2 linked regions of the Stegostoma tigrinum genome follow. The protein of the gene in region 2 interacts with the protein of the main gene of each other region in a pairwise test. Links are inferred from orthologs where the notes say so. Each region holds a gene or a part of one and is shown on either strand. Other genes may lie near its edges.

Region 1 (7,165 bases), on a different chromosome or scaffold from region 2:
CTGTACTTTGGCCTGATGTGCATTGCTGTGTGTTGCAGGCTTGCTCAACCTGTATGGCTGCTTACTGGTCCCTACACTGTTTTACCAGTTGTCAATGTATGCTGAGGCTACCTCCCAGTCCTTAGTGGCTCTCCTGTCACTAGAATGGGCTCTTTCCACTTGTGACTGCTACTGTCCCAGCTGCATCAGATTTTCCTGTATTCTGGCGCTCTGCTCTTTAATGACAAGTTTTAACTTTTTCAAGTTATCAGCAATGATTTTTAATCACTCTTGCAGCAATCTAATCTCGTCCAGTTTTTGAGAGTCTTTTAGGCTACATGCTATTGCAATTGCTGTGCTTATCTTAATAGCCTTCTTTCCTAACTTGTTATGTGTTTATTGCCTTAAGCCTTGGGCCATGGACCCTGTGGTCCAGGGGCAATTTAGGCTGCTACAGAATTCTGTCCATTTGGGCCAATTTTTACAAAGGTGTTGTCTGAGAGTGTCCTCCCATGTTGGATGAGGGGAGACTTGTCCCATTTTGCTAGCAAGCATATTATTGATAGGTCCTCTACTGGATTTCTCTTAATATGTTATTAAGTTATGGGAAATAGTTGTAGTTGGGGTAAAGCTTCAGCTAAATTCTTGTTGCAACCTCTCAAAATGTTTAGATATGTACAACTAGAACTACAAAACTCAGAGTTAGGTCTTTAGCCATTTCTTGTGGCCTGACTGTAGTTTCTTAAACCTGTGTATTATACCTATTCCTCGGTCCCCAACACAATCTCTGACTACTTGTTCCAGATACTTTTCAAACACTCAGCAGTTATTTTGACTGGGCTAGTGAAGCATGTAGACATGTCAATGGCTGCCTATGTCTCTACTTCTTTTAAATGCAAAATTGAAGTTTCTTTGACTGTTTGGAACTCAAAGATCCCTCAGCTCTCTTGAACTCAAAATAAAGTTCCTTCAAGTCTAAATAAAGAATGACTTTTCCCTGACTCTGTCCCCAACAAATACTGTTGGGGCAACATTGGATCAAAATACAAAGTAAACTTTCCTCTATTCATTCAAACTCAAAATAAACTAAAAATCAAACCTCCTCAGCTCTGCTCCATAGAACACTCCCAGGACAGGGGCAACACGGATTTGAAATTCACAGGAAATTTCCTTCTACTCACTGGAACTGAAAAGAAATAAAATAAAGCTCCCTGATTCTTTCAAGGAGTCCAAAATGTCTGTAAGGTTTCTACACAAGAGGTAAATGCCTGCTCCCCTCTCCCCACCCTGCCTCCTGCAGTCCCTCTATGCACTGCTACCCTTTTCCAGCTCATGCTTTGCTCACTCTGGCTGTAGAACACCTGGCTCGTGCTTTGCCTGTCACAGTCTAAGGTCACTGGTTATGGTTCAGTTGTGATCAGTGCCAGTGTCTCACAAGTTCAACTTACATCTTGTCCTTTAGGTGGGGCAACTGACCTCTTAACAACCAGCTCAGGCTGACCATGAAAGACACCAGACAAGGTTGACAGTTCAGGTGTGGAAGACCCTTAGGGTCACTTCAAACCAAAGTCTCTTAACAGGGGATGCCAAATGTTGTCTGGTTACTCTTTAAACAAGTTACAGGCAACTCCGACCAGAATGTTGTGAGCGAATTTGCCCAGGTGTCCCACAATACCAAGGTGGTCAAATCAATATGAACACAAGCTGGTACCAAAGCAAAATAGTTCCACATTATTAGGAACAAAATTATAATAATCTTTAATACTAAGTATACTATCCCTAATCTTTTTTGGCCGCTTAAGGTTCCAATACTTCCTGAGTCATTGTAAATTTATATAGTCACTCTCTCTGCGCCTCTGTCTCTGTGAAGTCGTTTTCTTCACCTCTCCGTCTGGATGGTCAGTTGGTCTCTGCCTCTTGCCATGCTGTTCTCCTCGTAAAGCCTCATAGGATTCAAGAGAGTCCCAAGAGAGAGGGCTGCAGGTGAACACTGTTTTTATGCCATTTGGATGGTTTTCTGTAACTTTCCACGTTTCTGGCCAATCAAGGAGGTACATGTAATAGGTTGAAACAAGAGTCCATCATTTAGATGGCATGCTACTGTTAGTTTCTTTGTGTAACAGGACCCAGTGCTTTTCTGACTGTGCTCTCCTTTGTTTAGAGAATACATTATTGGGGGTGATTCTGTCCACAGTAACTGCTGCCTTTCACATCGTTCTAATGTCATTAGCATTTGGCTGCTGCGTTTGCAATGTGTCTGGTGTGTGGGTTTCATGATTTCAGAGTTTTACTTGGCCAATGTACCCAGCCACCTCTTGGAGTGTGGCCAAGTTAACACAATCTAGTTGTGTTTTAGCAGCCCAGAGGCAGCTACAATTTCATCCAACTTCTGGCCTGCCACCTGTCTTTGACATTGATGGGCTTATTCGTTTAGTTTGACGGCATCTTTAACATTTCTGGTTAAAAATTGATGCTTTTCCTATCGCTTGAAATTTTTGTCACATGTTGTAATGTATTTATTCTGCATACTCTGAGATATTCTGTTAAACATCTGCCATTGCATTGTTATTGACGTGTTCTTTAACCTCTTACTGTGCTGTCATGCCCTCACAATTTCACCTATTCAATTTAAAAAAAATGACCTTGTGCCTGCTCTCCTCCCTCAAACTGAATGTTAAGTTCAACTATATAATGGTTTCTGCTACCTAGGGCTGCCTCCACTATGTAATCACTAATTAATCCTATCACATTACACATATCAGATCTACCAATGTTTGCTCTATATTTGGCCTCAGAATACCACTCATAGAGTGGTGAATTTGCTACCACAGAAAGCAGTTGAGGCCAAAATATTGTATTTTGAAGGAGTTGGATTAAACACTTTGGGCTAAAGTGATCAGAGGATATGCGGGGAAAAGTGGGAGCAGGCAATTCAGTTGGATGATCAACCATGATTGCATTGAATGGTGGAGAAGGTTCAAAGGGCTGAATGGCCTACTCCTATTCCATTTTTTTTGTTCCAATGCTGTTCTAAGAAAAAACGTATTTCCAAAAATACTCTATGAACTCTTTATCAAACTTACCTTTGCCTACTTGATTCATCTAGCTAATATATACAATAAACTCTCCCATAATTATCACTGGGCTGTCTGTTAAGTTCTCATTATTCCTTTCTTTATGCTCTGCCCTAACATGTAGTTAATGTTCGTGGGCTTGTGACTTCTTGCTATTATCATGTCTCATTTTTACCTAAACTTTTTCCACAGTTTCCTGATTTTTAGGTTGTTCCTCTCTTTTGTATCAAAATAACTGTTAGCTAACAGAGCTACCCTTCCACATTTTCTCAGTCTCCTGTTATTCATAATATCTTGTATTCTTCAAAATTCAGTTCCTAATTTTTCTTTCCTGTAGTTTTGTCATCGTAATGGCTACCAGATCATTCTTATTCATTTATATTTGTACTCTAGGTTCATTTTTTTCTTCTTTATTCATTTATGGGATGAGGGCATTGCTGGCCAGGCAGCATTTATTGCCCATCTCTAATTGCCTAAAGGGCAGTTGAGAGTCAACCACTCAACAACTGCTGTGGGTCTGGAGTCATATGTAGACCAGACCAGGTAAGGATGGCAATTTCCTTCCCTAAAGGATAATAGTGAACCAGATCATTTTTTCTGACAATCAATAATGGGTTCATGGTTATCATTGGATTCTTAACTGCAGACATTTATTGAATTCAAATTCCACCATCTGCTGAAGTGGGATTCAAACCTGGGCCCTAGAACATTGTCTGGGTCTCTGGATTAACAGTCCAGCAGTAGTACCACTAGGGCATTGCCTCGCGGTATTATCAAATACTTTGGGCATTTAGATACAGAGCCTTCAGCTTTATCCTTTTACTCTTTGTAATTTCTAGTCATATCTGTTGGTTGAGTTTTAAATTTGTATTCTATCTTTGTCTGTCATAATTGGTTTAACTTTCCAGTATAATATCTTTCTCTTTGGCCTTTATTCTTTGATTTAACACAGTTTCCAAATTTGAATATTTGCCTCCATTATTTGGTTTAAAAGCCTCTGTATTTCTCCAGTTATATGGTTGGTAAGAACACAGGCCCCAACACAGTTCACATGGAGACTGTCCCATTGGTATAGATCCCACTGTCCTCACTGCAGGTGCTAGTGTCCATGAACTAGAACAGTCTTATCCCACGCCAGTCTTTGAGCAATGTATTCACTTCTCATTTCTGATTTGGATTGTCCAAATTTTCACTTGGTTCTAGGAATCATACTCAAGCTCCTCTGCATCCTCATCATTGCTCACCCACCCACTCAGCATTATGCTATCTGCAAACTTAGTGATGCTACATTTAGCTCTGAGGAATGGTCACCGGGCCCAAAGTGTTAACTCTGATTCCTCTCCACAGATGCTGCCAGACAAGCTTAGCTTTCCAACGATCTCTGGTTTTGTTTCTGATTTCCAGTGTCTGCAGTACTTTGGGTTTTTATTTACATTTAGTTCTCTCACCTTAATTATTAACATAAATTGTGAGTAGCTGAGGTTCTCTATCTGTGCCAGAACAAAACCTCCAATCCCACGCATTTTTATTTGACATCTTGAATGAGATGTCATCAAAAATATTCTGAAGATTGAAATAAACATTTAGATTTAGATGTTTCAGGTAAATTAAAGAAGGATGTAAAAAAGATGGGGAGTTGCATTATTTGATAAGGGAGAATACCACAGCTGTACTGAGAGAGGGCACCTTGGAGGACTCATCCAGTAAGGCCTCATGTGTAGAGATCAGGAATAGGGAGGGTACAATCGTTTTGATGGAGTTGTACTGCAGGCCTCACAACAGCCAGCGGGTGATAGAGGAACAGATATGTGGACAGGTTATGGAAAAATAAAGAAACCATTTGGTTATTGTGGTGGGTGACTTTAATTTCCATATATTTACTGGGACTGTATTAGTGCCAGGGATTTGGATGGGATGTGGGTGGGGGTGTTAGTTCGTTAGATGTGTCCAAAAGGATTTTTTGACGTCACATGTAAATAGTCCAACTAAGGAAGAGGTCGTATTAGACCTGGTATTGGGGAGTGAGCCTGGCCAGTTGATCCATGTTTTATTGGGGAAGCATTTTGGGAACAGTGACCATAATTCTAGAGGTTTTAAGCTACTTATGGATATGGATAAGAGGAATCCTTGGATGAAAGTACTAAACTGGGGGCAGGCTAACCACCACAATATTAGGAAAGAAGTAGGGAATATAGATTGGGGGCAGCTGTTTGAGAATAAATCCACATCTTTACATGGGAATCTTTTAAAGGCAAGTTGATTAGAGTTCAGGACCAGCATATTCCTGTGAATAAGGATGGCAGGATTCAGAATGTTGGATGGCAAGAAAAATTGATGGCTTAGTCAAAAAGAAATTTGAGGCATACATAAAGTTTAGGAAACCGAAGACAGACAGGGCCCTTAAAGAATATAAAGAAAGCAGAAAAGAAACAAGGATTTAGGAGGGTTAAAGGGAATATGAAATGTCTTTGGCAAACATGATTAAGGAAAATTCCAAGACATGTTATACATACATAAGGAGCAAGAGGGAAAGAATAGATCCACTGAAGGATAATGCAGGGAATTTATGTACGGATATGTTACCTCAGTATTCACATAGGAGAAGGACATGGTGGATGGAGAATCTTGAGAGGGGTATGTTGATTGTCTCGACATGTCAATATAAAAAAGGAGTTGGGTGTTTTGAAAACAATTATGGTTGACAAATCCCAAAGATCTGATGGAATCTATTCCAAAATGCTGAGGGAAACAGGCGAGGAAATTGCTGGTACCTTGTCCAAAATCTTTGTATCCTCTTTATTCACAGGTGAGGTCCTCGGGGGCTGGAGAATAGCTATTGTTGTTCCTTTGTTTAAGAAGAATAATAGGGATAATCCAGGAACTATAGGCTGGTGAGCCTTATGTCAGTGGTAGGGGAATTATTGGAGAAGATTCTTAGGGACCAGATTTACTCACGTTTGGAAAAATATGAACATATTAGTGCTAGGCAATTGGCTCTGTGTGAGACAGGTTGTGTTTCATGAAAATGATTGAGTTTTTGAGGAAGAGACAAAGATTATTGATGAGGGCATATATGTTGTCTATATGGACTTTAGCAAGGCCTTTGACAAGGTCCCTCATGCAGGCTGATACAAAATATGATGAAGTCATATGGGATCCACAGTAAGTAGAAAGTTGGATACAGAACTAACGTAGCCAAAGAAGATACAGAGTAGCAGTGGAAGGGTGTTTTTCTGATTGGAGATCTGTGACCAGTGGTGTTCCACGGGGATCAATGCTGAGACTCCCTGTTATTAGCAATATATATGTATAAATGGTTTAGAGGAGAATATAGGTGGCCTACTTAATAAGCTTGCGGATGACACAAAAATTACAGGAGCTGCAGATAGTGAGGACAATTGCTAGAGAATATAGCAGGATATACATAGGCTGGAGACTTAGCAGAGAAATGGCAGATGAGTTAAGTCCAAAAAAATTAGACATGATGAATGTTGGAAGATCTAATGAATCAGGGAAGTATACAGTAAATGGGAGATCCCTTTGGGGGCTCTACATATGCAGGTCCATAGTTCTCTGAAAGTGGAAAAACAAGTTGATAAGGAGAAGGATTAAAGAAGGTGGTAAGGAAGGCATGTGGCATGCTTGCCTTCATTGTTTGGGGCAGAGAGTATAAAAATTGCAAATTATATTGCAGCTGCATAGAAGTTTATTTAGGCCACATATGGAATATTGAGTACCGTTCTGGTTGCCACACTACAAGAAGGATGTGAAGGCTTTGGAGAGGGTACAGAAATGATTTAACAGGATGTTTCCTGATTTAGAGGATATTGGCTACGTGGTGAGATTGGAAAAGCTCGATAGAAGCTCACAAAATTTTGCAAAGCATGGATACAATGGATAGTCCGAGTCTTTTATCTCCAGGGTAGAAATGTCCATTACGAGAGAACCTAGGTTTAAGGTAAAAGTGGGAAGATTTGAAGGAGATATGAAAGGCAAGGCTTTTATACATAGGGTGGTGAGTGCCTGAAATGCACTGCCATGGGAAATGGCAGAAATGAATACAATTGCAATGCTTAAGAAGCATTTTTACAGATACATGAATGCGTAAGGAA
Region 2 (6,977 bases):
CCTGTGAACAGCAGTGTGCCATAAGATTTGGTGCTGGTTCCACTGCTTTTTGTCATCTATATAAATAATTTGGATGTGAACATAGGAGAGTGGTTAGTAAGTTTGCACGTGACACCAAAATTGGAGGTGTAGTGGACAGCGGAGAAGGATACTTCAGAGTACAATAGGATCTTGCTCAGATGGGCCAGTGGGCCAAGGAGCAGCAGATGGAGTTTAATTTCGACAAATGCAAGGTGCTGCATTTTGAAAAGGCAAATCAGGGCAAGACCTATCTACAACGGTAAGGTTCTGGGGAGTGCTGCTGAACAAAGAGACCTTGGAGTGCAGGTTCATATGTTATTCCTTTGAAAGTGAAGTTCCACATAAACAGGATAGTGAAAAACGCATTTGGTTTGCTTGCCTTTATTGGTCACTGCATTGAGTACAGGAGTTGGGAGGTCTTGTTGCAGCTGCAGTGGGCATTGGTTAAGCCACTATTAGAATATTGCACGGCCTCCCTGCTAAAGAAAGGATGTTGTGAGACTTGAAATGGTTCAAAACAGATTTACAAGGATGTTGCCAGGGTTGGAGAGTTTTGAGCCATAGAGGAAGACTGAATAGGCTGATATTATTTCCCCTGGAGCAGAGGGTGAGGGGTGACCTTTTAGAGGTTTGTAAAGTCATGAGGCACATGGATAGGCTGAATAGACAAGTTCTTTTCCCCCGAGTTGTGGGAGTACAAAACTAGTAGCCATAGGTTTAAACTGAGAGGGGAAAGATTCAGAAGTGACCTAAGGAGTGGCGTTTTTATGAAGAAGAGTGTGTTGCATGTATGGAATGAGCTGCCAGTGGAAGTGGCAGAGGCTGGTATAATTACAATAATTTAAGAAACATCTGGATGCATATATGAATTAGGGGGATGTGGGACAATTGCTGGCAAACGGGACTAGATTTATTATGGGTATCTGGTCGGCATGGAGGAGTTAGGCTGAGCATACAGCTCTATGACTAACTGCAACTGTTGATTCAGCCTGATGAAATCACAATCTTTCCACAAAGCCTCTTCAAAGATCTCAATTTTAGACATACAAAATACATACAATATCTTCTCCAGAGTCAGCTCCTATTGAAGTAATGGAGTCTCTGCTGACCGATCTTGGAATCCGTGCCGTACCAGGACGTGAGGTGTTGCCTGCCTCTTCAGCAATCTTCTTTTTCAGTTTTGCAAACATGGTTCTTCAGCTATATTTTTCAGAGGTGTTCCAAACCACCAAACTGTTTAAGGTTATCTGAAGTCTCAGATGAGTTTGGAAGAGAGACAGTGGATGTGCTTTAGAAAACAATGTACTCTGTTTGGCTCCTAGCTGCTCCTTAATAAGGCTCACTTTTTATATCTACTGCAAAAACCGTCCATTGCATCACCTGTCAGCAAAATAAAGTACATTAGATCAAGAAAATAACATTTCTACTGGTTCTCAACTGCAATCATAATATGTCAGAAATGATGTTTTAAAAAAAAAACTTTGTTTCATTATTCTATACAGCTTGGGTTTCACAACTGAAGTCCACTGCAATTCTCCTGTATACCCACATTTCTTTGTTTCCTACCCTAAATTCTACTTTAGAAGACCTGGCAGCCAACATACAAATATGTAACCACTAAGAAAGGGAAATGGGAAGAAAATTAAGTAAACATTTCAAAATTGTTCCATCCAACCCAAGTTCAAGCACAAAAACGGGCACCGGGTGTTTGCACGCGGGCTCAGTGCCAATACTATGAGAAAAGAGTATTTTGCGTCGCGCTTACATTGGACCAAACTGCAGAAAAGATTAATTAAAGTTTAATGACATGATACCAGTTTTTGTGCTACTTCTTTGATGCCAGAATTGTCACATTCTATTTCCCCAAGGACTGTTGGTAAATTCCATTCTTCAAGAATTCTGACAAGACCATGTTTTGCCTATGAACAAGACTATTCAATGTGCTGTTTCATTTTCCTTAACAATACAGCATTTTGTTTCTGCTACTTTTTCCAGAAGTTATGGTCACCTAATCTTTGGGATTCAAAACTACTTCTAATCAACTAATCACAGTATTATTCAAAGTTTCTTTCCTGTAAGAAAATATGACTCAAAAGGAATCAAACAAATGGACTGGAGCCAGTTCAGGTGAATAAATTCCAAATGGATTAGTCAGACTTTATAAATTTCTCATGATTCAGGAACAATGTCCTTGGGTGATCCATTATTTAAGGCACAGGAGGGACAACCTAGGTAGCAACACGTCTGTTAGTTTAACATCATTTATGGGGAATTTACTGGGAGAAATCGTGAAACAGAAAGAATAAATCTTTGAAACAAAACAGAAATTGCTGAAAAAGCTCAGCGGGTCTGGCAACATCTGTGAAGAAAAAAAAAATCAGAGTTAACGTTTCGGGGTCCCGTGGTCTTTCCTCAGAACGGATCTTCACAGATGCTACCAGACCTGCTGCGCTTTTCCAGCAATTTCTGTTTTGTTTCGGAACAGCAGCTGACAGCTTCTTGAGTGACAGTTTACGGGACCAGTCGGAAAGCGCGTCCATCCCTGTCGAGGGACAGAACAGCCAACCCACCAATCAGCAGCTCGTCAATAAGGTGGGCTCGGCAGCAGGTTTTAGTTCACCAAAGGAGGGCGAGCGGCCGAGCGTCCGCCGATACGGCCAACTTGGGTCATCACTCATGGTTCACTAAGCAATCAACTACCCACTGAAAGCTTCTGCTCGGCCGGATCTGTTATAAATAGCAGGTCACTTCCGAGAAGTTCGACACGAAATTGCCGATAACGGTAGGAACCATAAACTCCGGAGAGCGAGGACACCCGAGCAGGCACTTTCTCATGGCGACCAAGTACCTGAGTGTGTGTTAGCAGCAAGGCTCTATACACTACTGCTCCATCCTGTTGTCGGCCTTTCTCACCTCCGCTCAGCCGACGTGGCCGCAACGTCATCAAGTTCCCAGCGGCTTTCCTTCAGTCCAATCAGATTGAACGTTAGATCGGGGACTTGTGCCATTGTACCCATTCGCTGATGTATTGGGACTGCTGATTGGACCGTAGCCAAGCCCACCAAAACAAATCCCCGTCAGCAGCAGTGGGGGAGGCGCCGACGACGCCAACAACAGTATCGACCTGATCAAGAGTGAACTAGTGAGACAGTGCTGCTCCAAGAGTCTCGGAGGACTCGAATTCAACATCAACGGGCCCCAGATTTCCCTTCAACACAGCGTGTCAATTCTCCCAGACGTTACATCTTCTTGTCACTGCTGCAAGGAACCCGAGTGAAAAAGCACTAGGATTTTTTAAAACAAATTCACACACCACACATGAAGTAGGAAACTGAAACTGCACTCGAGATAAAACACGGAAGTGAGGCTGCTGATTGTGGGGCATGTGGACTTGATGGGCTGAATAGCCTGCTTCTCCTTTGCAAGATGGAATATTGCCCTCTTAATTTAGGGATATAGGCCTTAGGGTATGATCAGCTACGATCTCATTAAAATAGCAGATAGGCTCGAGAGACGTCCTGTTCCTAATTCAATCGCAAGCTGCCAGCAGAACTGAATCAAGGCAGTTGATAGTCTAATAGTACCGATGTCTCAAAGGTCTGAGGAAGAGTCATCTAGACTGGAAACCTGGGAACCCTGCAGCCCAATGGTATCAATGTGGACTTCACCAGCTTCAAAATCTCCCCTTCCCCCACCGCATCCCTAAACCAGCCCAGTTCGTCCCCTCCCCCCACTGCACCACACAACCAGCCCAGCTCTTCCCCTCCACCCACTGCATCCCAAAACCAGTCCAGCCTGTCTCTGCCTCCCTAACCTGTTCTTCCTCTCACCTATCCCTTCCTCCCACCCCAAGCCGCACCTCCATCTCCTACCTACTAACCTCATCCCACATCCTTGACCTGTCCGTCTTCCCTGGACTGACCTATCCCCTCCCTACCTCCCAACCTATACTCCCCTCCCCACCTATCTTCTTTTCTCTCCATCTTCAGTCCGCCTCCCCCTCTCTCCCTATTTATTCCAGAACCCTCACCCCATCCCCCTCTCTGATGAAGGGTCTAGGCCCGAAACGTCAGCTTTTGTGCTCCTGAGATGCTGCTGGGCCTGCTGTGTTCACCAGAACCCTCACCCCATCCCCCTCTCTGATGAAGGGTCTAGGCCCGAAACGTCAGCTTTTGTGCTCCTGAGATGCTGCTGGGCCTGCTGTGTTCATCCAGCCTCACATTTCATTATCCTGGAAACCTTAGATTACTTTCTCTGCATGGTTGCTGCCTGAACCAATGTGATCTCCAGCATTTTTTTTGTACAGATTCCAGTATTTGCAGTAATTTGCTCCTATATAGTCTCACAGTTGTTTGTTTAGAGTCTTTTAACAGACCCTTTTTTTGTCTTTCTAGCTGGTTAGAATTATAGAAGTCAGAACTTGAAGTAAGCTGTTTTGCCACTATTTGTATGCTACTGGCCACCAAATATTGGAAAGGAGAAAATTCAGAAATTACTGACATACCATAATAGTAGTGAGGAGTTGCATTAATAACAATATGAAGGACAGAGAAGCTAGGTGAGGAATTTCCAAAATAGCTTCAAGATATCTATCAATGTGTGTCCAACACAACAGGGAAGGAAGCACTGCTGGAAGTATTTCTAGGGAATGAAGTTGGATAAGTGGAGCATATTTCAATGATATAGCATTTAGAGATGTTTGAAGGGGTATTGAAGGATAAATGTCCTACCTGGATGAAAATGTAAGCAGAAACTAATTGAAATTAAGATTGAAGTCCAAAAGTGAGATGGAGGAATATGGTTATGAAAGAAGTATTGCAGATTGAATTGTAGCAACATGACTTTAAATTACTCTAACAAGTCATTAGTTTTCTGAAATTATTAGATTATCAGCATTGGGAAAATGATGACTGTAATATGTAGTAGAACGTCAGTTAAGTGTCCAAGGTGCTGTGTTGCACTGAAAGCTATCCAAGCAATCAAGTGACTTATCCAGGTAATTACAGCTTATAAAGGAGCATTCTTGAAGTAGTAATCTGCAGATTACTCCCACTGCAATCTACCAAGTGACTACAGAAATAGGAAGAGAAGAGATATGAATGTGTGGCCAGAACAATGGCGTTGTAAGGACAGCTTCAGATTCCTGGGACACTGGAACAGGCTCTGGAGAAAGTACACCTGCACAAACCAGATGGGTTGTACCTCAACAGAATCAGAGTTCCTTGCAGGACATTTTGCAAGTGTTGTTGAAGAACTTTTAAACTAATTCAGTAGAGATGTGGGAACGGGAAGAGAACATTAAAAAGTAATCTATGGGTGCATAAAATGCTGGTGGGAAGGTAATATCAGAATGGTAAATTAATAAAATCATAGAATTTTTAGTACAGAAGGACTTTAACTCGTGTCTGTACTGGTTCATGAGACATAGCAGCAGAAATTAGGCCATTCGGCCCATCAAGTTTGCTCTGCCATTCAATCATAGCTGATAAATTCCTCAACCCCATTCTCCTTTCTCCCCTTAACCCTTGATAATCAATAACCTATCTATCTCAGTGTTACATGTACTCAATGACTTGGCCTCCACAGCCTTCTGTGACAGCGAATTCGTGATTCACCACTCTCTGGGTGAAGAAGTTTCTCCTTACGTCTGTCCTATTCCCTTTATTCGAAGGCTGTGCACTCGAGTCCTAGTCTCTCCTATTAATGGAAGCATCTTCCCAACATCCAGGCCATTCAGTATTCTGTAAGTTTCAGTTACATCCCCCCTCATCCTTCTAAACTCCAATGAATATAGTCCCAGAGTCCTCAAACGTTCCTCATATATTAAGTTTTTCATTCCTGGTACCATTCTTGTGAACCTCCACTGAACCCACTCCAGGGCCAGTACATCCCTCCTGAGATATGGTGCCCAAAACTGCACATAATAGTCCAAACGTGGCCTGACCAAAGCCTTATAAAGCCTCAATAGTACATCCCTCCTTTTATATTCAAGTCCTCTCAAAATAAATGCCAACATTGCATTTGCTTCCTGACTACTGACTCAACGAGCTCCTCAGCATGTTGCATTCCCTTGTCCTATCCCTGCATCCCTCTAATTCACCACTTTCAATGACATATCCACCTCATTTGAAACTTATACAACCTTCTCCATCTCTCTTCCAGGCAACACATTCCAAACGCTAACAATTATGAGTAAAGAAATTTCTCTTCATCTCACTTCGAGCTCTCTTGCTATAGACTTGAAATTGTGACCCCCCTAGTTACAGGCATACAAATAGTAGAAATGGAATATTGTTCTTTTACTGTCAAAGTTGTTTATAACTTTGAACACTGCAATAAGGTTACTTCTTAATCTTCTCTGTTCCAAGGAGAATTAGGCCAATTTCTCTCATTTTTCTTATATCTAAGATCACTCATTCTTTGGATCTTCCTAGTAAATAGTAATTCTAATTGTTGAAGTTAGAATAAGGGAAAAAGGAATGATGCCTAAAATCAAGGTTATAATGCATGCATATGAATGCATGAAATAAAGTTTAAAAGACTGAAGAATTATAGACACAGACTGTCTTGTGAGATTATCATGTTGTGCCAATAACGGAGACTTGGCTCAAGGAAAGAAAATCGTGGTGTTAAATATTCCTGATTAAAAAGTATACAGAAAAAAAAGTAAAAGAAAAGGGTCAGAGATAATGGAAACTGCAGATGCTGGAGATTCCAAGATAATAAAATGTGAGGCTGGATGAACACAGCAGGCCAAGCAGCATCTCAGGAGCACAAAAGCTGACGTTTCGGGCCTAGATTAAGCAGCAGAACTGGAGAAAAAGTTGTTTCAGATCATTCAAAACCAGAATCAATTTGACTAGAGCTAAGGAACAAAAGGGGTGCAATTCTATTGCTTGAGATAATTTATTGACCATCAATTCGTGGGAGTGAACCAGAGAAGAAAATTTGCAAGA

What was found. The genes of interacting proteins can lie anywhere in the genome.
Region 1: the proteins of golga1 (region 2) and phosducin-like protein 2 interact in a two-hybrid assay, tested with the Homo sapiens proteins (2 studies listed by BioGRID). The two-hybrid records come from large-scale screens. The link is inferred for Stegostoma tigrinum from reciprocal best matches to the Homo sapiens genes GOLGA1 and PDCL2.

The regions. Positions count from the first base shown.
Region 1 is NC_081354.1:108,850,271-108,857,435, forward strand, and holds the start of phosducin-like protein 2, read right to left. Parts: upstream 3,082-7,165; coding exon 3,063-3,081; intron 1-3,062. UniProt on the Homo sapiens protein: Essential for male fertility, spermiogenesis and acrosome formation.
Region 2 is NC_081382.1:26,349,075-26,356,051, forward strand, and holds the start of golga1 (golgin subfamily A member 1), read right to left. Parts: upstream 3,002-6,977; 5' UTR 2,870-3,001; intron 2,781-2,869; exon of another isoform or gene 2,592-2,780; intron 1,402-2,591; 5' UTR 1,212-1,401; coding exon 1,080-1,211; intron 1-1,079. UniProt on the Homo sapiens protein: Involved in vesicular trafficking at the Golgi apparatus level. Involved in endosome-to-Golgi trafficking. Mechanistically, captures transport vesicles arriving from endosomes via the protein TBC1D23.